3 linked regions of the Notamacropus eugenii genome follow. The protein of the gene in region 3 purifies or fractionates together with the protein of the main gene of each other region. This does not show direct contact. Links are inferred from orthologs where the notes say so. Each region holds a gene or a part of one and is shown on either strand. Other genes may lie near its edges. The genes, in order: DLGAP5, NUP214 and KPNB1.

What was found.
Region 1: the proteins of KPNB1 (region 3) and DLGAP5 purify together in Homo sapiens (affinity purification with mass spectrometry; 4 studies listed by BioGRID and IntAct, with this or other methods). This does not show direct contact. The link is inferred for Notamacropus eugenii from reciprocal best matches to the Homo sapiens genes KPNB1 and DLGAP5.
Region 2: the proteins of KPNB1 (region 3) and NUP214 purify together in Homo sapiens (affinity purification with mass spectrometry; 3 studies listed by BioGRID and IntAct, with this or other methods). This does not show direct contact. The link is inferred for Notamacropus eugenii from reciprocal best matches to the Homo sapiens genes KPNB1 and NUP214.

The regions. Positions count from the first base shown.
Region 1 is NC_092872.1:344,301,221-344,308,987, reverse strand, and holds the start of DLGAP5 (disks large-associated protein 5), read right to left. Parts: upstream 2,909-7,767; 5' UTR 2,525-2,908; intron 2,424-2,524; coding exon of another isoform or gene 2,327-2,423; intron 2,279-2,326; coding exon of another isoform or gene 2,185-2,278; intron 1-2,184. Other genes in the region: uncharacterized protein, read left to right, coding at 2,185-2,278, 2,327-2,423, 2,909-3,338. UniProt on the Homo sapiens protein: Potential cell cycle regulator that may play a role in carcinogenesis of cancer cells. Mitotic phosphoprotein regulated by the ubiquitin-proteasome pathway.
Region 2 is NC_092872.1:482,961,369-482,968,991, reverse strand, and holds the start of NUP214 (nuclear pore complex protein Nup214), read right to left. Parts: upstream 3,032-7,623; 5' UTR 2,958-3,031; coding exon 2,853-2,957; intron 587-2,852; coding exon 391-586; intron 1-390. UniProt on the Homo sapiens protein: Part of the nuclear pore complex. Has a critical role in nucleocytoplasmic transport.
Region 3 is NC_092873.1:353,612,334-353,619,351, forward strand, and holds the start of KPNB1 (importin subunit beta-1), read right to left. Parts: upstream 3,054-7,018; 5' UTR 2,912-3,053; coding exon 2,872-2,911; intron 2,704-2,871; coding exon 2,645-2,703; intron 127-2,644; coding exon 1-126.

The sequences.
Region 1 (7,767 bases), on a different chromosome or scaffold from region 3:
AGTCCTAATAGAGAGGTAATGGAATTAAGGTACAGAATGAGTAATACATTTGTCTCAGCAAATGGGAGTGATTACTTCCTCAGCTGTGGTTACTCATTAGAAGGACGGTAGGGTTTTTTGGGGAGGGAAGAGTTTTAAAATCAATGAATAAATAAAATTATTTTTGAGAGGGAAAAGAAATCCAGGTTAGATTTATACAAGGAATATAGGGTTAGTTCAATATTAGAAAATTATAAATATAACAAACATTATTAACAAAAACAATAAATATGTTCTTATATCAATAAATGACAAAAAGCTTTTTAATAAAATGACAATTTGTCATTTTAAACATATTAAGAAGCATAGGAATGAAGCATTCCTCAATATGGTAAATAGCATCTATTTAAAACCAAGCACTAGTTTTATCTGTATTGGAGCTGAAGATGAGAATATGCAAATTAATACACTGCTAGTGGAGCTGTGAAGTGATCCAATCTTTTGGAACTATGCCCCAAAACTCACTAATCTATGCACACCTACTGATTCTCAGATACAACTACTTGGCTTATACTCAAACCCTTATTTATAAAAATATTTGTAGCACCACTTTTTGTTGTAGGCAAGAACTGACATCAGAGTGGGTGTCCATCAACTGAAAAATTACTGAGCAAGTTTTTTATAAATGTTATCACAGTTAATACATGAGAAAAGGATTCAGAGAAACTGCAGAGTGAACTACCTACACAAAAACAACAATGTAAAGAGAAATCATGAAAGACTTAGGAATGATAATCAATGAACCCAATGACTCCAACAGACTGATGTGGATCTATACTTGGCACATAAGTTGATGGACTAGAGATGCAGAATGAGACACAAAAAGTGGCTGGATTTGAAAAACGTTTTGAATGACTCTATTTATACCACAAGGGAAGGTTTTCTTCCATTTTAAGGGAGAGGGGTTTGGCAAGAAAGCAACAATAAGTGATTCCAAAAAAAAGGAGCAAAAGAAAGAAAATGTCGTTTGTGAACTTTTTTCTAAACCGAGAAAATGAAATTCATGCTGTACACCTTTGGGATGGCTGTTGCTCCCCTTCCCTTCTTTCTTTTCTCCTCTAAAGCCTTGGACACGATACAGTGAAACCCATGGACTAAACATGGAAGGGTCCCTGCCCAACCTCCACTCAATGGCTGGTTTTGGACCCTCAGGGCTTAGAGGGAATGTCAATAGTAACAGTTTCTCTTCCAAACAACAACGCTGAGGCTCCTGCCCCTCCTAGCATGATTTATCTATTTATTTTCTCTTTTCTATGAAAGGGGCTATCCCCCCTAGACCTTTGAAAGAGGCCAGTTTACTGAATGGGTATTACCTCACTTTAAGTGAGTACCTGAGAAGATCTTAGCCAAGGGGCCAAGGTCTCCCAGGCCATCTCCGGTCATCCTGATGAATATCTGGTCACTGGATTCAGATGGGTCCAAGCAGAAAGTGAGGTTGGTGACCTTCCACAGCCCTCCCTCACTCAAAACAAAAACAAGTGCAAGTTATGTCCTCATTTCTTTAATGTCATAGCTTCTCAGAAAAACAAAGGACAAACACAACAATAAAGGCTGTTGTTCCATGGGTCAAACTCTTCATGATCCTTCTGACTCGTTTTCTTGGCAAGGACACAGGAGTGGCTTGTCATTTCCTTCTCCAGTGTCCCCATTTTACAGAATGAGGAACTGCGGCCAAGTTAAGTGACTTGCCCAGGTCACACAGCCACATCTGAACTTAGGAAGATGCTCTACCCACTGTGCCACCCAGCTGTGTCAGCCCTGGACCAACACCATTAGAATTACAGTATGTTAACCTGGTAGAGGGCAGTTAGCCCGTTCTGAAATCAGGAAGGCACGAGTTCAAATACTCTCAGACACTAGCAGTGTGACCCTGGGCAAGTCACTTAACCCTGTTTGCATCTGTAAAATGGGCTGGAGAAGGAAACAGAAAACCATTCCAGTATCTCTGCCAAGAAAACTCCAAATGGAGAAGTTGGACATGACTGAAATGAGTAAACAACAAAAATCTGATGGGGTCTAGACCTAGACCTCCCACATAAGGAAACACCCTCTACCAGTGGTGATCGCCACCACCTCCGCACTATGGCTTTACACTTGTTTAGAACACCGGAGGTGGAGTGACTGGTCCAGGGTCACCCGGCCAGCATGTGGCCTTATGTCAGGAGGCTTGCAGACAGGCCGAGGCAGCTCTTGGTGCACCGGAAGGGAAGGCGCCACACGGACTCTGCCCACTATCCAGGTACTAAAGAGTAATTGACTCAGTTTGTCTTTTCTCCACTACCACCAGCACCGGGCGAAGGACCCCCTCAGAGCCAGAGCCCAGCGACACCAAGGCGGAGCCGCGACTCCCCAGCGGCCCAAACTGCCCTTCTCCAGAGGCGGAGGCACGGCGGGATCCTCCCCCGCCCCCACACTATCACACACATACACCCCCTTTTCTCCTCCCCTCCCCCCACCCCCACCCAACCCCTCCAGACGGACCTACCTGCGAAACACACTTTCCTAGCAAAAAAGGTTCTGGGGAAACTATCAAAAGAAAAGGATAAAAACACCGCTCTTCCCCCAAAAACCGGAAACGCCCAGTTTTCAAAATGAAGTCAGATCGTCCACCTCCGGGACGCTTAAATTTCCCGCCTCCAGCTTATGATTGGTGGAGCTCTATAGGGCGCTTCCTGATTGGTCAGTTCAGGGAGCTTCTTGGATTGGTCTAAGGCCGGAAACGAATGCTGGGAGAGGCCGAAGAGGATGACGCTTGTAACTACTTCCGACTGGGCTGTATCGGCGGGCTGAGTAGCTGGTTGGGGCTCGATAGATTTCCGCCATCGTTTCCACTGCTTGTATAACTGTTTTGTTATTGTTGAGCGCATAGGGGAAAGGCCCCGGCCCTTGGGGAATGCTGGCTGCCCACCGACCTGTCACCTTTTCCCCTCCCCCAGCCTCCCTCGGAGAGCGGAGGCCTAGTGGGCGGGGCGAGAGGGAGGCTTCCGCTCTTCCGGTTGGTTCCGGGCGGGAGAGGATTCACGGTCCGCTCATCCCCTTCGCGGGATGCAGCGCGGTTGGCTTCCGTCTCGTTGTTCGTTGGATTAAACCGGCGGGATCCGTCCTCCGCCCGGATCCTGGAGCAAGTCTGTGGGATGGGCCGGGCTGCCGGAGGAGGCTTCCCATGCGCGCTGCTTAGAGTTCTCTCCCCCGAAGAGAAGGAGGAGGAGGAAGAGGAGGCCGGAAGGACTCAGCCAGCGGGCCTGTCTGTAACCCGAGCGGTCCCGCAGTACCGGCCTGCCCGCCTCGCACACTTGTGAGCATCGCATGACGGAACGTGGAAAGCGCTTTGCGGCTCTGGAAGCGCTCTCGAAACGCTCACTGTAATTTGATCTTACACGTGGTTTGCAGATGCTTGCTATCCTTAAATAGAATATTAATATTAACGGTTCATAAGTGCATGTTGATTAAGAACAATTTTTTGTTGTCAGCAGTTTGAACCTATGAAATATCAACTTAGAAAAAGTGCTCCAAGTCACCCATAATAATTATATAATATACAAATATATATTATGCATATAAATTAAAACAACTTTGAGGTTTTATCCTCAGGCCTATCAAATGAACTAGGGTGATTGGGATAGAGACAGGACCCATAATTTAATTGGTATAGGAAACTACCCGTGCAGGTTAGTAGCTTTTCTGAGGATCTCCATTGGTAGAGGGAGTTTCCTTATCTGGTGTCCTTATAAGGTATCCTTGTACCTTTGGAATCACATACCTATAGTCTCCGACAAAGATCTTCTCTATACATGCTTATCTAAGCCAACTGCTTTTCCCATCTTTGTTTTAGCCAGTGCCATTTCTTTCTCCTATAGAAACATACCTGCGTCTTGCCTAAAGCTCCATGCAGACTAGCCCTGAAACTTTATACAGACTGGGCCAGTATCTCTACACGTAGTACACTCAGCTGGATCTGTGAGTATTCCCAACAGTGACATAGATTCCGATTCATCCATGCTTGCCTGTCTTCTGGACTTTTGCCTTTGTCCTTCTGTAAGTTCATCACAGGATCCACTCAAGATGCTAGAACCTGGATGTTAACAAAGATACCGGTGGAACTTCTAGGTATGCTCACTCTTTGACTAGCCCATCTTTTTTGATGGTACCTTTTTTTGATTATATCCTTTATTCCATTTCTCCTACAGAATTCCATGTTTGGTATGAGTTGCAGCCTCATTGCTTCTCTATTGTCCTTTGGATAATCCTTAGTTTCAGTTTTTTGGGGACTGTGGTGTACAATAACTCATAGCTATACAACACCAGCAGAAGAATATTGATATTAAAAAGGAGGGTCTCTGTTTCAAGGAGGAATTAGAAGTCCTTAAAGAAACTGGCAGTTTTTCAAAGGCAACCCAGACTTCTTTTCCTTCTTTTCCTAGGTATTTGCCATACCTGCACATTACATATACGTGTGGTATAAATATATGAATGTATATGTGCCTGTGTGTCCATAGGGGTGTGTGTGTGTGTGTGTTTTAAATGTGCACAATAGTGGGATCTGATTAATTTTTCTTTTTTTGTTGTTCCTTAATGTTTCATTTTTTTTACATTCTTTTAAAATATTTTTGCCCAATTACATGTACAAATAATTTTAACATTCTTTTTTCAAATTTTGAGTTCCAAATTCTCGCCCTTCCTCCCCTTCTCTTTGAGAAAGTAAGCAATTGATGTAGTTTATACATGTATAGTTGTGCAAAACATTTCCATTTGAGTCATGCTTTGAAAGAAAAACACAGACAAAAAAAGAAAAAGCCAAACCCAAGTAAAATAAAGTGAAGAAAAAGTATCTTTCATTTACATTCAGGCTCTACCAGTTCTTTCTCTGGAGATGCACAGCACCTTTCATTATAAGTTTTTCAGAATTGTCTTTCATTATTGTATTACTGAGAATAGCCAAGCTATTCCCAATATGTCGTCATACAATATTGTTATTACTTTGCACAATGTTCTTCTGGTTCTTCTCATTTCGCTTTGCATCCATTCATGTGAGTCTTTCTAGGTTCTTCTGAAAGCATCCTGCTCATCCTTTCTTAAAGCACATAGCATCCCATCACAATCATTTGCTACAACTTGTTCAGACATTACCCAATTGATGTACATCCCCTCAATTTCCAATTCTTTGCCACCATAAAAGAGCTGTTATAAATATTTTTGTACAGATAAGTCCTTCTCCTTTTATTTTGTCTCTTTAGGATACAGACCTAGTAGTGGTATTGCTCAGTCAAGGTGTTTGTATAGTTTTATAACCCTTTGGGCATAGTTTCAAATTGCTCTCCAGAATGACTGAATAACTATATAACTTCACTAACAGTACATTAATATTTTAATTTTCCCCACATTCCCTACAATGTCATTTTCCTTTTCTGTTATATAAGCCAATCTGATAGGCACATGGTGTTAGCTCAGAGTTGTTTTAATTTGTATTTTTCTTATCAATAGTGATTTAGAATATTTTCTCATATGACTATACATATCTTTAATCACTGTCTTAAAACTGCCCATTTATATCTTTTGACCATTCATCAGCTGAGGAATAGTTCTTATTTCTGCAAATTTGACTCTGCTTTCTATATTTAAGAAATTAAGTCTTTATCAGAGAAATTCACTCTAAAAGATTTTTTTTCACAGCGATGACTAAACTCTGTATTTCACTCCATCCTATTTCCCCTATTTACTCTACTCTCTCTCTCCTTTTACCTTGTGCATTCTCAAAAGTGTTTTGCTTCTGACTTTTATTTCCCTGAAACTGCCCTGCCTTCTATCAGCACCACCACCCCATTCTCTTATCCCCATCACCTCCTACTTTCTTGTATAGCAAGACAGATTTTTACAGCCAAGTGAATGTGTGTTATTCCCTCTTTGGGTCAATTTCAGTGAGAGTAAGGTTCATATATTACCCCTCCTGCCATATCCCATTTTCCCTTCCATTGTAAAATCTCTTTCAGGCCTCTTTTATGTAAGATAATTTACCCCATTCTATCTTTCCCTTTCCCCTTCTCCCAGTACATTCTTTTTTCTCACCCCTCAATTTTATTTTATTTTTTTTAGATAATCATACCACCACATTCAACTCATACCTGTGCTTTGAATATGTATACTTCTAACTGCCATAATAATGAGAAAACTTTCAGGAGTTACAAGTATTATTTTCCTGTGTAGGAATGTAAACAGTTTAACCTTATTGAATCCCTTAAGATTTCCCTTTCCTGTTTACCATTTTATGCTTGCCTTGAATCTTGTATCTGAAAGCTAAAATTTATTCAGCTCTGGTCTTTTCATTAAGAATGCTTGAAAGTCCTCCATTTCATTGAATATCATTTTTTTCCTCTGAAGGATTATACTCAGTTTTGTTAGGTATATGATTCTCGGTTGTAATTCTAGCTCCTTTGCCCTGTGGAATATCATATTCCAAGCCCTCTGACCTTTTAAGGTAGAAGCTGCTAAATCTTGTGTTATACTGATTGTGGCTCAACGATACCTGAATTGTTTATTTCTGGCTGCTTATAACATTTTTTCATTGGCTTGGGAACTTTGGAATTTGGCTATAATATTCCTGGAAATTTTCCTTTTGGGATCTCTTTCAGGAGATGATCAAGGAATTCTTTCAATTTCTATTTTACCCCCTAGTTCTAAAATATCAGGATAGTTTTCCTTAATAATTTCTTAAAAGATAAGGTTCTAGGCTATCATGTTTGCAGGTAGTCCAATAGTTCTTAAATTATCTCTTCTGGATCCATTTTCTAGGTCATTTTTCCAATGAGATATTTAACATTTTCTTCTATTTCTTCATTCTTTTGATTTTGTTTGATTGTTTTGCAGTGCCTCAAAGTCATTAGCTTCCACTTGCCCAATTCTAATTTTTAAGGAACTATTTTCTTCAGTGAGCTTTTGTACTTCCTTTTCCATTTAGATAATTTTATTTCTTAAGGAATTCTTTTCTTCAGTGGATTTTTGTACCTCTTTTTTCTATTTGACCAATTTTGCTTTTCAAGGCATTCTTCTTCTCATTGGTTTTTTGTGCCTCTTCTAGTATATTTCCTGTCTGTTTTTTAAGGTGTCATTTTCTTCAGTATTTTTTGTTGACTTTTTTCATTATTTTCTTGTATCACTCTCATTTATCTTCTCAATTTTTCCTCTACCTTTCTTACTTGATTTTTAAAATCCTTTTTAAGTTCTCCCAATTCATCGTTTTATTTAAGGCTTTGTATATAGGAGTTATGGTTTTGTTGTCTTCTCCTGAGCTTTTGTTTTGATCTTCTTTTCACCTTAGTAACTTTCTATAGCAGAATATTTTGTGCTGTTTGCTCATTTTCCAGGAATTTCTTGACCCATGCTAAAGTGGGGCTCTACTTCTGGAGTGGAGGAGTTACCATCCCAGGTTTTTTGTACAGATGTTTTCAGAGACACTTCTAGGTTCCTATAAGTTTTTAGTTCTTTCAAGGTGGCATGATCTAAGAAGAGGTCTGTGAGAGATCACAAGCACTCTTTTACATCCTGGAACTATGAACAGGGTCTCCACTCCACTACAGTCACAAGTTCTAGTGCTCTTCCTCACCATCAACAGTCAGCCAGATCCAAGTATAGGCAATGCAAAAGTTCTGCCTCTGATGTCAGCTAAGTAGTAAATCTCCTTCTGACCAGTTGTCCAATCCCCCTACTGTCTGTGGGCTGAGAAGTCTGGAAACT
Region 2 (7,623 bases), on a different chromosome or scaffold from region 3:
AGTACTGTTAAGCCAACTAAAATGTGATACAATAAACTCCTTCCACAATTAGGTCATAAGCCCAACAAAAAATAAAATAAGGTAGACTTTTCCCTACTTTGAGCTTGAAGGGATGACCAGATACCTCAAAAGGAAGACCCACATGGATTATCTCCAACACCTCAGGAATAGCTTTGGTACTTACCTGGGAACCTTTGGTCAACTTAGTAACACTCTTAAAATCACGACTTCAGTGACCATGTCAGAGATTTTCTTTGAGAAAAAGACTACTTCACTAGTATTTCACTACATTCCTCTCTTTTCTATCTTACATAGATCAATAACTTGCAAAAAGCTCTTCACACACACAGTAGGAGTTTAATAATAAAAGTTTGCTGGACTGTAACTAACCAATTCTATTGGGATCCTCCCCAGGCCGATTCTGAATAAGAAGATTTTTGGTAGGAAAAACCCGAAACCCAGTGGCTCCGGCAGCGAACACTAGACCATACTTATTAGACACAGTAAGCATACTGCAGCGATCTTTGGACAGCTCTTCAGGGGCTTCAAAGACTCGAACCTTCTTCAGCGCTCTAAACTGAAAATCCTGTCATAAAGAATAAAAACAGAGAGTAACTCAGTAGTTTAAATGATGATAAGAGGTATTGCTTACCTGGGTCAAAGAGAGTTACAAAGAAAATCTTGACTTAATACTCCCATTCCTTCCTTGACTCCTTCCCTGACAAATTCAGCTCACCCTAGTTTTCTCTTACTCACTCACTGTTATATACTTACATATAAAGTCTTACTCTCTAATTATACATAAGTATATATTCTACCTCTCCACTGAGAGCAATGTAAATTCCTTCTGAATAAGGACAGTCCCTTCCATTTCTCTCCCCATGGTATAGTGGAATGAATTGAAGACTTGACATAAAGAAAACTGAATGATTCCAGCTCTGACACTTAGTAGCTATGAAACTATTAGAAAGTTACTTTTCCTCTGAGCCTTAGTTTCTTCATTTTCAATAAAACTTGTGCTCCCTTATGGAGATGTTGTGAAGAAAATACTTTGTGACCCCAAAAGATTATAGAAATGTGACTTATTACTATAGTCCCACAAGACACAAAATCTATGTACATAACAAGTACTCAAAAATTACTGACCAACAAGAAAAAGATTACTTAATTCTATGTGACATTTCAAGAAATTTTCACAATGAAATTTCAGCACATCAAAATATCTTTTGCCCCATCTCTGTCTACCTTGAATTCTACTTATATATGTACATGTAAACTTCTTGCAGGCCAAGCCTATGTCATTCTGCATCTCCGTATTCTCAACATCTAGCTAAGGATCTTGAACAGAAAAGGTACTTCTGTGAGTGGTTTTATACAAGGGGAGAATGTTTTCTGCTTTGCAGACAGTGGAAGATGAACTTAATTAGAATCAGGAGGACATAGATTTAAAACCCCATCACTGACACTTAAAAGATATGTGACCACAGGCAAGTCACTTTCTGACTCAGTTTCTAAATCTGTCAAATGGGGATCATAATACCTATATGATCATACTTAAAGAACTGTAGCCTCTGAAATAGCATTTACAAACTCAAAAAGGATTATGAGAGTTCTCATGGGCATTTTCACTGGTCCAGTGTACTACTGTGATCCCTTCCAAAAAAGCCCAGACCCACAACAAAGTTTTCTGTAAGTACAATCTGGATTATTTTTGGGCCTCTAAGATCACAGTCACCCAACATCTGGATGACAGATGAACCAATGATGTAAACAGGCTCCTTAAGTAAATCTGTACGTTAGCCTTAAGGATCACTATCCATAGTATTCTTGAGTTGAGAGAGGGACCTTAGAGACTATCTAGTGTTTTTTACAGATGGGAAAACTGAGTCTCTAAGGGGGAAGTGACCCAAGGTTGTACAATGAGTCAAACATCTAGAAGTCAGTCAACTAATATTCATTAAGAGACTACTATGTGCTAGGCACTCTACTAAGCACTGGAGATACAAAGAGAAGCAAAAGATATTCTCAGCCCTCAAGAAGCATGCAACCTAATGGAAGCAGAATCCAGATCTCTTCACTCTCAATTCAGCATATTTCTCAACCCAACGTTGACCCAACTTTGTCCAAGAGATCAGAGTCAATATTGCTTCAATGGCTAAATCCATCAAGGACTACTGAGCCAGAAACCACAGAATGCAAAAGACCTTAGCAACAACCTAGTGCTATCCCCTAATTTTAAACATAATGAAAATAAAGCCCAGACAGAGGAAGGGAGTGTCCCAGAATCACACTATGATTTAGTAGTAAATCAATGAATTAGAACTCATGGTTTCTGATACCTAGTGTAGAAATACTTCCCATCACAACAATTCATACCAAATTAGTAGCAAATCAGTGACTAGGACTTTGGTTTTGTAATACTCAGTATGGTACACTTCCCTTCACAACAACCTGTCAATCTAACTGTCCCTGCAACATTCCCTTCAGATATATGTAGCCTAAGAGACAAATTCCAGGAACTACAGAATATCAGTACTGGAAAAAACTTCCAAAACAACTTAATCCAGTTTCCTCCATTTTACAGATGAAGAAACTGAGGCATCGAGAAGAGTAAGACTAGTCCATTATTCTTATTCACATAAGACAACTTGAGATTTGGAGCCCTTCCACAACAGCATCTAAGATAGATAGTGATGGTTTGTTCAACCAGGTTCATCTGAAGAAGACGGTGCCCTCCAGAGCCATTTCTGTGTTTTCCCAGGATGCTGGAATTCTTCCACAAATCATTTCCACCTTGTGTCCCTTTCTCTCCAAACATATGTAAAATGGGGCCAAAGAATAATTTCACTTACTTCCCTTTGATTTTCTACATATTTGGGAAGAGGAGGTTGTCTGGATTTATGCCCCGAATATATGCTAATCATCTTCTTGGCTTTCGGAAATCTAAGACGTCGCATTTTGAAGATCCTTTATATCTTTCTCATCTAGCTTTCTGTTCTGGGGAAACAGCTACGTAAGAAAGATGCAGATGCTGAGTTTTTCCCTGTGAGGTGGGAAAGCACTGGGCTGTAGACGTTGCAATGATCCATAAAAAAGGGCAGTGACCGGACCTGGAGTCAGAAAATGTAGGGCGCTACCACTTATGACGGTAAGCAAATGATTTAACTTGTGGGCCTCGGTTTCCTCATCTGTAAAGTGGGTGTGGGGTGCGGGCCGGACAAGATAATCTGTGCCGCGGGTCCCTTCTAGCTCTAAATCTACGGTCCCTTCAAGACGAGATGCAGGGGTAGGGAAAGGTATCGAACCTACGGGGAAACATCCTAGACTCTAACTGAAACCCAAATCTCTGGGTTCCCATTCTCTCGTGCCCAGTAAGCTCTAAACTACAGCACCCAGCGCCTCGAGAAATTCGAGACGGGAGGCTCTCTCTCCAAGGCAACGCTGGGCCTCAGTGACGTCCGGCCAGGCCTGGCGCGGCGTGGCCTGTCCCGGTGGTACCGGTCCTCCTGCCCCTCCCGGCCCAGGTCTCATTGAACCTGACCTTCATCTCCCGTTCGGGGATCAGCGCATCCATCTCGTCTCCCATGGCACAGACTCCCTACAAGCGGGAGCCCGAGGAGCCGCCGCCCCCGGAGAGCCGGAGCTACAGCGAGGAAAAATTCCCTCGCTGAGCTCAGCGACAGGCTCCGACGGCTGCCATTTCCGGCGCATCAAAACTACGTCACACCCGTGAGAAACAGTCTTCTAGGAGGGTGGGAAAGGGGTCGATCCAACTCGAGCCTGTCGTGAGCTGCTGCTTTCCATTGGCCCGTCTGGCGCGAGCGCGCTGTGAACTGCAGCCTCCCATTGGTCAGTCAGGCTCGCGCTTACTGTCAGCCGCCTCTTTCCATTGGTTTACCCTAGGAAGGGGGTGTGGCCTGAAGTCCATCAGTCGTGATTCGCTGTTGCCTAGCCTTTCTTCCTAACATGCAGTCATCTTCCAGTCTAGGATCTTAGGGAGTTTCTGGACCGCGGAAGTTAATTTCCAAAATTTTAACTTTTAATTTGACTGATGTGACTTCCCATGTATAATCGCTATCATATTGCTCGCCTTCTCAATGGGTGGGGGATGTCGGGAGGAAGGGAGAGAATTTCGAACTCAAATTTTTTTTAAAACGAATGTTAAAAATAGTTTACATGTAATTGGGAAACATTTAACAAAGTAAATCATTTATTTTTAAAAAATTCTTCACGGATGGGGAAATGTCTGTGTGTAGCATATAGCTCAGCGTAGCGGGGCTCTGTTTCACGTCCTTCCCGCCGCGTGGTCCGCAATGAATGGCATTCATTCATTCATTCATTCAACACCCCTGCGCGCGGGCTTGTCGCCGCACCCTCTGCCAGGTTTGTATCCTGGATTTTAGAGAAAGAAGTAAAATCCCTGCCTGCCTTCCAGCCTCTCCACCAGGACGCGGAGAACTGCCGGGAGGAAGACCGCGAAGAGTTTTTAAGACCAATAAGAAAAGGGAAAGTTTGGGGAATTCGGTCTAATTCAGACCGGGTCTTCTTGTGCAGAACTGAGGTGTGGGGGAATGGAATACCATGTTTTAAATAAGCTTCTCTGAGTTTAGGTCTAACAGCTGAAGATGACACAGAGGCAAATTAGGACAAATCAAACTTAAGGCTCAAGAGCTACAAAGCGTCCAGTTGTCGATGGCTTCAGTGAAGGCGCTATGAAGGAAGTGGAATCTGAACTGGACTTTAAAGACTTGGAATTGGAGATAACACCTGACGTTTCTATAGAGTTCAAATTTGCAAAATCCTTTATCTACACTATCAAAAAGTATAGGTCGTGTTCAGATACTTGTTGTTCTTCTCGTCATTTTTTCAGTTGTGTCCTAATTCTTTGTTACCCAATTTGAGGGTTTTCTTGACAAAGCTACTAGAGGTTTGCCATTTCCTTCACTAGCCCATTTTACGAATGAGGAAACTAAGGCAAACAGGGTTAAATGACTTGCCCAAGGTCACAAAGTTAACAAGTGTTTGAGTCTAGACTTGAATTCAGAAAAATAAGTCTTTTGGACTTGGCACTCTACCTACTTTACCAACTAGTTGCCTCATTTAGAGGTCATGTATTCTAACTTCTTGGTTTTCCAGAGGAATATACTCAGCTTGAAAAAGGTTGTCATTCCCAATATCACATGAGAACCCAGGTCTTTTAAATCCAGCACTTTTTCTACTGCACCAAATATATTGGGGCAAGTAGTCTCTTCTGACTGGACAGTAGAGTAGGTAAAAGAACTAAGGTATAAGTAGATATAAGAACTAAGACTGGAAAGATGCTGTTGCTAGCTTGTGGATGACATTGAATGTAAAGCTGAGTTTGAATTTAGGAACTAGCAACCTTTGCAAGGTTTTGAACAGTGGTGTGATATGAGCGTATCTTTGGATACGGAGGGTGTCTGGCAGTAAGGGATGGATTGGATATGGAAGAGGGATTAGGGAAGATTTGATTTGAGGTTTCCACAGAAGTGGGCAGGAAGAAAAGGGGAAAGGAAGCTCATCTAGGTAGGCAAAGGGTGTACAAAGTATAAAGTACAAGCAAGGTTGAAGGATAATGAATTGGCTAGTTTTGTCTTTGTGCAGATTGGAGTTACAGTAAACATGATGACATCTAGACTGTGGAGAACTTTGAATATCAGACAATTGTCTGGTAACTATATGACTATGGTCAAGTTAATTCATTTTCTTCGGCTTCGGTTTTCCCCCTGAGAAATGAAAGAGTTGGATTATTTAATCAAGAATTCTTAACCTATGATCTGTGGATACCCAAGGGATCAATGGATAGATGGGGAGAGGGGTATGGATTGTGAAGTTAAATGGGGAAAAAATACATATTTCCATTAACCTTTGGCTTCCTTTATGTAATACTTTATATTTTATTTTAGCACTTAAAAGTATTAATCTGAGAAAGGGTACATAGATTTCACCAGATTGCCAAAGGGATCTATGACACAAAAAAGGGTAAGAACTCCTGGACTAAATGCTTTTTAGCGGCCCCTCTAGTTCTAAAATTCTGTGACTACAATTTATTCTGTGGCAGTAAAAAAAATCCTTAAAGATTTTTGAGGAGAATGGCATCACCAAAGGAATATATTAGGAAGATTCATCTTAATATATTATGTAAAATTGGGGGGGGGTTGGAAACTAGAGGGGCACTATGGAGGGTATACAGTCTTGAAAAAGACAAACCTACTAGTCAGGAGACTATTACAATATTAAGAGCATGGTATCATTTGAGAGACCTTGGAAGGGTTTCCTGCATTCAGATATCCTGGAATCCCAAAATGTCATATTTACATGGAACCTCAAAGTACATTAGAGCATACCAGAACAAGAATTCCCTTTAGAGTGGTCCCCACTCAAAGATGTCCAGGGATGGATGCCTTTCAAGGCAGACCATTGCACTTTTGGATAGCTCTGTTAGAAAGTTTTTCCTTGTGGAACATAAGATCTAGTTCACTCCGACTTTCACTTGCTCCTGGTTTTGTCCTTGAGGCAGCCTGTCTCTTCTACCTTACACCCTCAATCAATCAATATTTATTAAACTTCTACTATGTGCCAGGCACTCTGCTAAGCACTGAGGACACAAGAAATAAAAGACAGTCCCTGCCCACAAGGAGCTTACCTTCTAATCAAGACAGCATGCAAACAAATATAGACAAAGCAAGCTATATACAGGATAAACAGGAAATAATTAATAGAAGACAAGCACATTTAAAAGGGAAGGCTTCCAGTAAAAGATGGGACTTTTAGTTGGGACTTAAAGGAAGCTAGGGAGAGGTCATTAGTTGGAGCAGAAGAAGAGCATTCCAGGCATGGGGAAGAGGCAGAAAAAATGCCCGGAACTGAAAAATGAAGGGTCTTATTTGTGAAACAGCTAGAAGACCAGTGTCGCTGGATCAAAGAGTACCTGTCTGGAAGTAAGGTGCAAGAAAACTGGAAAGGTAGGAGAGGGCTAGGTTACAAAGGACTCTGCCAAAGAGAACATTTTGTGTTTGTTCCTAGAGGTAATAGGAAGCCACTGGATTTTATTGAGCAGGGAAGTAACATTTATGGGGTGCTTGTGTATGGACCCCAATTCCAAGATCACATTTCTCCCTAGTCTCAAAACACTTTCCCAGACAGTTTTCTCTCCAGTCCAAGGACACTATGCCTAGAAATAACTCATGAGTGTGCTCCTGTGAGGTAAACTATCCCTCCCTGTTCCAAGAACAAGCTGACCTCTGTAGAATTTCCCTTCTGTGAACAGGACTACCTTGTGCCAGTAGAATTCTCATGTATTGATTCCCAGTTATCATATACAATCCAGAGGTCAAGCTATAGACATCATCTCTCAAAGTTATCTTGCTACGGACATAACAGACCAAAAATACACCCCTTAGAAACTCCTTTCTCTGGTTTCCAGGAGTGAAAGATGCTGGTGACTAAGGTTGTACGATATCACCTAATTAGTGTATCTACCAGATAATCCACCACTTTTCCTATCTAAGCTTTAGCATCATTCTTGTTAAATTGCAAAGTTCCTTAAGCAGCTCTATTTGCCACATTAGCATTACAATAAACCTTTGAACTTCACTTAAA
Region 3 (7,018 bases):
CTGTGCCTTGATGTCTGGATCTTTAGATGTCAGAGAGTTCTTGATCTGTAGCCCAGCTGCAACTCTGGCAACCTGGCTATTTCCTGGATTTGCCAGCACTCTGGACAGTTCCACAAGGAAAGTGGGCTGGTTAGGAGAAGAAAAATATTTGTAAATGGTAACAGCCTCAGGGAATTTCCCAGATTAAGGTTAGCTTGGTTAGCAACTCATGGGGGAAAAAGCAAAAGGTCTTTATAAAAATTTTAAAATATCAACTTCAAAACTCCACTTAATTGTTTTGCTCATACACCAATAACATGCTTTAAACTGCACTAAGACTTTTGGGATACTCTATATTCACCATCCTTCTCCCCAACTCCTATACTCAGATAAATAAAAGTAGGATAGTTTTTCATTCTGACTGATGTCATTTATACGTTGTCTTTATGTCCACAGCTAACCTGTTCAAACTCAAAGCTAGTTTGTTGATCTACCTGTCAGTCAATAGGTTTCTTCTATGGACAGATGCAGGAAAGGAATAAGTTGACAATTACCTTCTAGGAATGTTCATCCAAAATGGACTAGATTCTTGACTCAGTAAATCTTAGAACTCCGCAGGTCTTGGAAATTCTTTATCATGCCCATTATATACAAGAGATCAGATAAGCAAAGTGATTTGCCCATGGTCACAAGGCTATTTTAGAAGAGTCAGGATTCTCTCCTAAGCCTTCCCTCCAAAGTCAGCTTTATTTTTGCAGGAAGGAAAAGACAAGAGGTAGGAGCAACTAGTAGAAGAAAAAAATTTAGGCTCGATATAAGTTTCTTAACAATGTAAAATTCTACAAATGAAGAATGGGCTGCCTTGGGAAGTTCCCACTCATTAAAGGTCTTCAAGCAAAGGCTAGATGACCATTTGTCAAGTACATTAATAAAAGAGACTAACTAGCCACTGAGGTTCCTCCTAATTCTGAAATTCTGTAATTACTTATATGTAAACTCAAAGTAAAATAATGCTTCAGGAACCTTCTTTGTACCCTATTCAAAGACACTATAAAGGGAAAATAAGCCAGAAGCATTAAATGGCAATAAAATGAAAATTGGGAAGAATAAGTGCAAGGTAAAAGATATGAAGGTTGGCAACAAGGACCAAACTTTTAGAACTAAGGATTCAATTTCAAAAATAGAAGTGAGAAACTGTAAGGCAAGACTTCAACAAACTACTGTCATTTACTAATTTATATTTATCAGTTGCTCCTGACTTTCTAACCATACTGAAGCTGAGCACTCTACTGAAGCTAGAAATCTGCAAGAAGCTCCATCAAGCCCCAACTACTTATAAATGCAGATATATTTAACAAACAGAATATAGCCTCCCCCAAAGTCTCTCAACCCTACTCCCAAAGTTCATAAGCTAAGCCACAAATGGGCAGAGCCAGTCTATGAAATTTGAGACATGCAAGAATTAATCTTCTCAACAGGCAACACATTATTAAGTAACAAGTCAAACAGATTTCTTACAATTCTTCACAAAAATAAAACAAATGATTCATTTATATCAGTAAAAGGTCTTGCCTGCAAAACGTGAAGGGCACACACAGGCCAGTTAAGAAATAAAATAACCTAATTATAGCTAAAATTGTAGTGTCAACCAATACTGACCTTTAAAAGCACAAGACTAAATCACTTAAAAACAGTCTAAAAAAACCATCCATAATTTTTTTCTTTTGGCATGAGGTTCACCTTACGTCTAGTTTAAGTGACAGAAAAAAACATTTTTAGAATATTTTATGGTTCTTCAACCATTTAAAAGAGGACATTATGCCGCAGACATCTCAATCTCAGTTTTATAAGAAAAACACCAAAAGGGGAACATGACTGGCATATGGGCTGTTTCATTCAATCCACCCTAAATTTTTATCCAGAGAAACAGCTCCCCATCAAATAGGGAACTGCATAATTTTTTCATATTCTTAAAATCTGGAAAGTAAGAATAGCAAAATACTTCCTCTGAAACTGCAACAGGAAATAGGCCTCATCTCCTCATTTCTGGGCCACACTGCCTAGTCTAAGACCAACTCCCTGACCGATTAAAACTCTATCCCCATCCAGTTCCATGATGGCAGCAGAAGACCCACACTCAAGGAGGGGGTAAAATATGGGCATTAAGTGAAAGGAGATTTGGGGGCTACCAGGCCAGACTATGGAGGCAGAGTCTGGAAAAGACCAGCTCAATGAAGTGGACTGAGAATGAGAAAGGCCACGGAAAAGGAGAAGCAGGCCCTTAGGCGGGGCGATTGGCCGGGCTCCTAGGGCTTCCACATGGTCCCTAGGCCCCGGCGCCCCAACCCCCACCCTTACTGAACACGCAGCGCCGCGCAACCTAACTTCCCCTCCCTCCCGCTGCACCGCCGCCCTCAGGCCGGGCGGTGATTGGGCAGCCCTCGCCCGGCGCGCCTCGCTATTGGCCGGCTGCCGGGGCCTGGGGCGGGACACACCCACCGGCTTCCCGATGGCGGGGTTAGGTTGGTCCGAGAAGGGGGGGAAGGGAGGGAGAAGGGGGAGGGGGGGCGAGATGGGGCGGGGTGGGTTCCCTAGGCCTGGGCCCCGGGGAGGGCGGGAAGGCCCCAGCCTGGGGGGATGGGAGGGGGCCAGGCGCAAAACGCACCAGGTTCTCTACAGCTGCCCGCTCCAGGAACTTCTGCGCCGCTTCCAGTTCAATCCGATCTGTGGAGAAGGAAAAGGAAGGGGGTCAGGGGAACCGCGAAGAGGGGGAAGAGGGGGCTTCCCCTCCCCCGGTCAGATCACCTCGGTCCCATCCCCCCGCCCCATCTCTCGGCCTCGGCCCTGGCCCTGGCCCCGGCCCCAGCCCCAGCCCCAACCCCGGTCTCGTACCGGGCGAGACGGTCTTTTCGAGGATGGTGATCAGCTCCATGGCGGCGACGGGGGCTCGGGCTCCTCCTCGGGCGGCTCCGGCTTCTCAGACTCCCGCGGTTGCGGCGATGGCTGTGATGGGGGACGGGGGGTTGGGGGGCCGGGTGGGAAGGGAGGGTTGGGGTGGGGGGGCGGGGGTCACCACAAGCCCATTCACCGGCTCCCTCCTACTGGTCGCTCCGGCTTCCCTGCCCGCGTTCCTGCCTGGCTGCCTCTTCTCCACCTCCCCTTCCTTTTCCTCCTGTGCTGCTGTATCGAGGGCTTTGGCTCCTCCGGCTGTGGCAGTGGCGGCGGCGGCGGGGGAGGGACCCCGGGGGCAAGTCGGAGCGCGGCTGGTGCTGGGGCGGCGGAGGGAGAAAGAAGGAAAAGAGGGTGGGAGGGAGTCAGTGAGTGAACGGCGGCTCGCAGGCGGGGAGAGAGAGCGAGAGAAGAGGCGGAGGGATATCCGGGCCGGAACTCGTCGCGGCGGCACCGCGCTCCAGTCCGATTGGCCCCCACCGAGGCCACGCGGACTTCCCGATTGGCCCGCCAGCTGGGGCCGGAGGGCCGCCGCGTGCCTATTCGCCCGCTGCCTGCGAAGCTCCGGTTGGATGGGCTGGCGGCCGGGAAGGACGCGCGGATTGGCGTGGGGGGGCGGGAGAGAGGTTGCCCGGAGCCGCCCGCCGATTGGCCCCGCCTCATGAGGGTGCTGTGCTTGCATTGGCTGGGGGTGGGGAAGGGAGGGGGTAATAGAAGGGAAAGCCCCGGAGGGTTCTGATTGGACGCGGTGCTGGGAATCGATTGGATGAACTGAGGCCGGGCACTCAAGAGAACTGAGTAGAGGAGTTCGGGGTCGCTTCGGTCTGAAAGGCGGGATGCTCTGAGCGGCCGAAGGCCGCGGGGCACCATGGGATACCTCAGGAAAGAGGCGGGCCGGCATCTTAGCGCCCAAGTCGGCGTTCAGGACGCCCCCGCCCAGACCCTGAGCTGGGCTTGATGAGGTCGGTCTAGGCCCCGGGCGCGGGCGCGGTGCTGGGCTTCTTTCCTAACTGATTTCGGCGCGGGCTTTATGCCCGACTGTGCTGAGGCCCAGTGGGTGGCCCGGGGTTGGGGCCGGGGCCGTACCTGGAGTGTCAGGGCACGTGTGGTGCCCTGACGAGGTAAGTTCGCTGCAGACGTCCGCTGAAGTGGAAATTCATGTAGGTGTTTACTTGAACGCCCCTGGCTATCAGCCTCGTTATAAACGTGCTAATTCTGGCAGATCTGGGTTCAAATCCTAATTCTTAAATTTGCGAGCTGTGTAATCCAGAGCTGCTCTCTTAGCTCTGCATGTTTGAGGCACAGCCCTGGGACTTATCAGTACGTGAAGGGAGTGGCCTTACTGCAGAAGAAATCACAGATTCTTCCAGTATTGGGGTGTGTTTAAAATCAAAGCATTTAAAATACCTAAAATTACTTGCTCCTGGAGCAAGAATTGACCGTATTAAATATTCATTAAGCATTTAATAAGTGCTGACACTGTTTTAGGACCTGAGAGTTGAAAAACAAGGATGGTTCGGCCCCAATCTCCAGGGGAGGAAGGGAAAAAATATACACAAAATAATGAGCATATATAAAGTATTTAGGGAGTGGACCACAGACATGTAGAGGAATAAGAAAAGGTAGCTTAAATTAAGCTGAACTACACATTGCAAAAGGTTGTGAGGTGGTAGAACACTTGAGGCTTTAACATAAGGGAAGGAGAAGAATATGTACACAAAATATAATGTGTATACATAAAGTATTTGGGGAATGGGCCATAAATAAGGGAATAAGGAAAGTTAGCTTAAATTAAGCTGAAGCAGGAAGTGATTCCAAGAGGTCATGAGAAAATAGAACATGTGAGGCTTCAATTTCCATCCTGTACGTAAGTCCCCAGAGGAAGCTAGAAACGTGTCAGACAGTGCTTCTGAATCTTCGGACTTCCTCTGGCATGTTAGATCTACTTGTTAGAACACACTTGATTTGGAAACTGTAAAACCCAGATAGACCAATTCGAATCCTGGCTCTGTTCTGGCCCTCCGTTTAATCAAACCACAGTCAAGAGTTGGGAGGGTCTAGAGGTCAAACCACAACTAGTCCATAGAGCCCTCAGAGCTGTCCACTGTACAAGTCACAGTTCTTTCATTTTGTTTTTGCTTTATTTAAATTGGAGACACTAATATTTGCTTACTAAAGTTGAACTAATCTCCTTGAAGCCCACAAGTGATGAGGAGTTCATCCTATCTTTTAACTATTCTAATTGTTAAGATCCTCTCTGAAACAAAGGAGTCGGAGTAGGTAGTCTCTTAAAATATCTTCTGGGTCTAAATCCTACGGCCTTCCTCATTCAATAGTTAGGGGGAAAGTAGTTACATAAGTGAGTTAACATCATTTGTGTTATTTGAGCTTCACAACCACTGGACCCCATTCAATCAGACTTTATAAAAAGTCTTTGCCATGTGCTAGGTATGGGGAGAGATACAAAGTTCAGGTGAGACAATGTTGCTAAGCATATATGGGAGTGGTAGGGAGGGCAAGACACACAAAAATGACTGGTAGACATAATGTATAAGTGGACAAGACATTTTCGTTTGTGACCAGGGAGGGATCTCTCAGGGGAGAGGGACACTGTTGGGCAGTTCCACAGTGTAAAAAAAGAAAAAACATCTATGAATATCTTTACAAAACTTTAAAGTGGGTACATGAGAATACCAGCCAAGAACTAAGCAAGTTTCAAGGGCAAAATGTTTAATACCAAGTAGAGGAATCAAGAAAGACTTAAGAGGTGGAATATGAACTAGGCTTTAAAGGAGGTCTAGGAGTTTAGCCCCCTAGGGTTCTGCGAGGTAGGTAGAGAACACATCTAGTCACAAGAAGCAGAAAGGATTTGGAGGTGGCAAAGTATAGGATGTGTGGGGTCATCAAGGAGTCTAATTTGAGGGGAGGGCAGAATATGTGGAAGGAAAGAGTCTGAGATAAGGCTGGCACTAGATTGTGGAGGGTCTTAAAAGACAAAGGAATTTGATCTTTATCCAGTAGGCAATTGGAGTCATGAAATGATTTGGTTCGATGCAACAGATATTTTATTAAGCACTTAACAATGTATCTAGCATCACTAGAAGAATGTTGTGAAAAGATGAATTAGGAAGGCAATATTGCACATTGGATAGAGAGCTGGCCTTGAGAGGCCAGAAGGCCTAGGTTCAAGCCCTACTTCTGACAACTGGCTGTCTCATTCTGGGAAGCACCCTTGGTCTTTCAGTGCTGCAGGCAGATCTCCAAGACTAAGTTACTGAGCAGACCTGTTCTGGTTGAGGGAGACCTGTGATTTTGCAGGTTTGAAAAAAATAAGTGTGCCAAATCAAAGCAACAAGATGGATTATATGAGGAGGCAGTAAAACTCTGATTAATTATAACTAATCTTAGCCCTGGACAACAGATATAGGGGATTAAAGGCAATGATTGTGATATAAAAAAATAAAAATAAACCTATAAAGACAAAAAAATGATAAGTGGTCATTTCAGGAAACACTTCTAGATTTTGAAAACATGGGATAATATTCCAAATGCAATCCAGTCTATTCATTTCTTCCTATTCAGTTGCCAGTTCATTGTCCATCCAGAGACATGTGCCTCTGCAAGAGATGCATACTGATGGACTAATTTAATGGGCTGCCCATCCAACTGAATGCCCATCTAGTGTGCCTAAACAATACACGTTTTTTCATCCATTTGGTTTTCCCCCATGTGGATTGTTCAATTTTTGAGGATCTCATTGAGGATACTTAGTAGTATTCTGGTATTTAAAGAAAATCAGCACTATGTCATCCTTGAACAGTAAGATCTTAAGTTCATCTATGGAGGAAATCACTCTTCCATGCGGATTGTGTGTGGGTAGCTTCCAGGGCAATTGTGAACATGTTTGGTGAGCCCCTGTACAAACACTGAAGCTAATGGGGGTCACACAAACTTAGACTTAGAAAGGACCCCCAAAGTCACTCTGTCTGCTCCCCTTATTTATAAATGAGGAAACTGAATCTCAGAAGAGTGACTTGCCCAAGATTACACAGCTAGTAATTGCTTCAGAATGGGGGAGGTCTGCCATAGT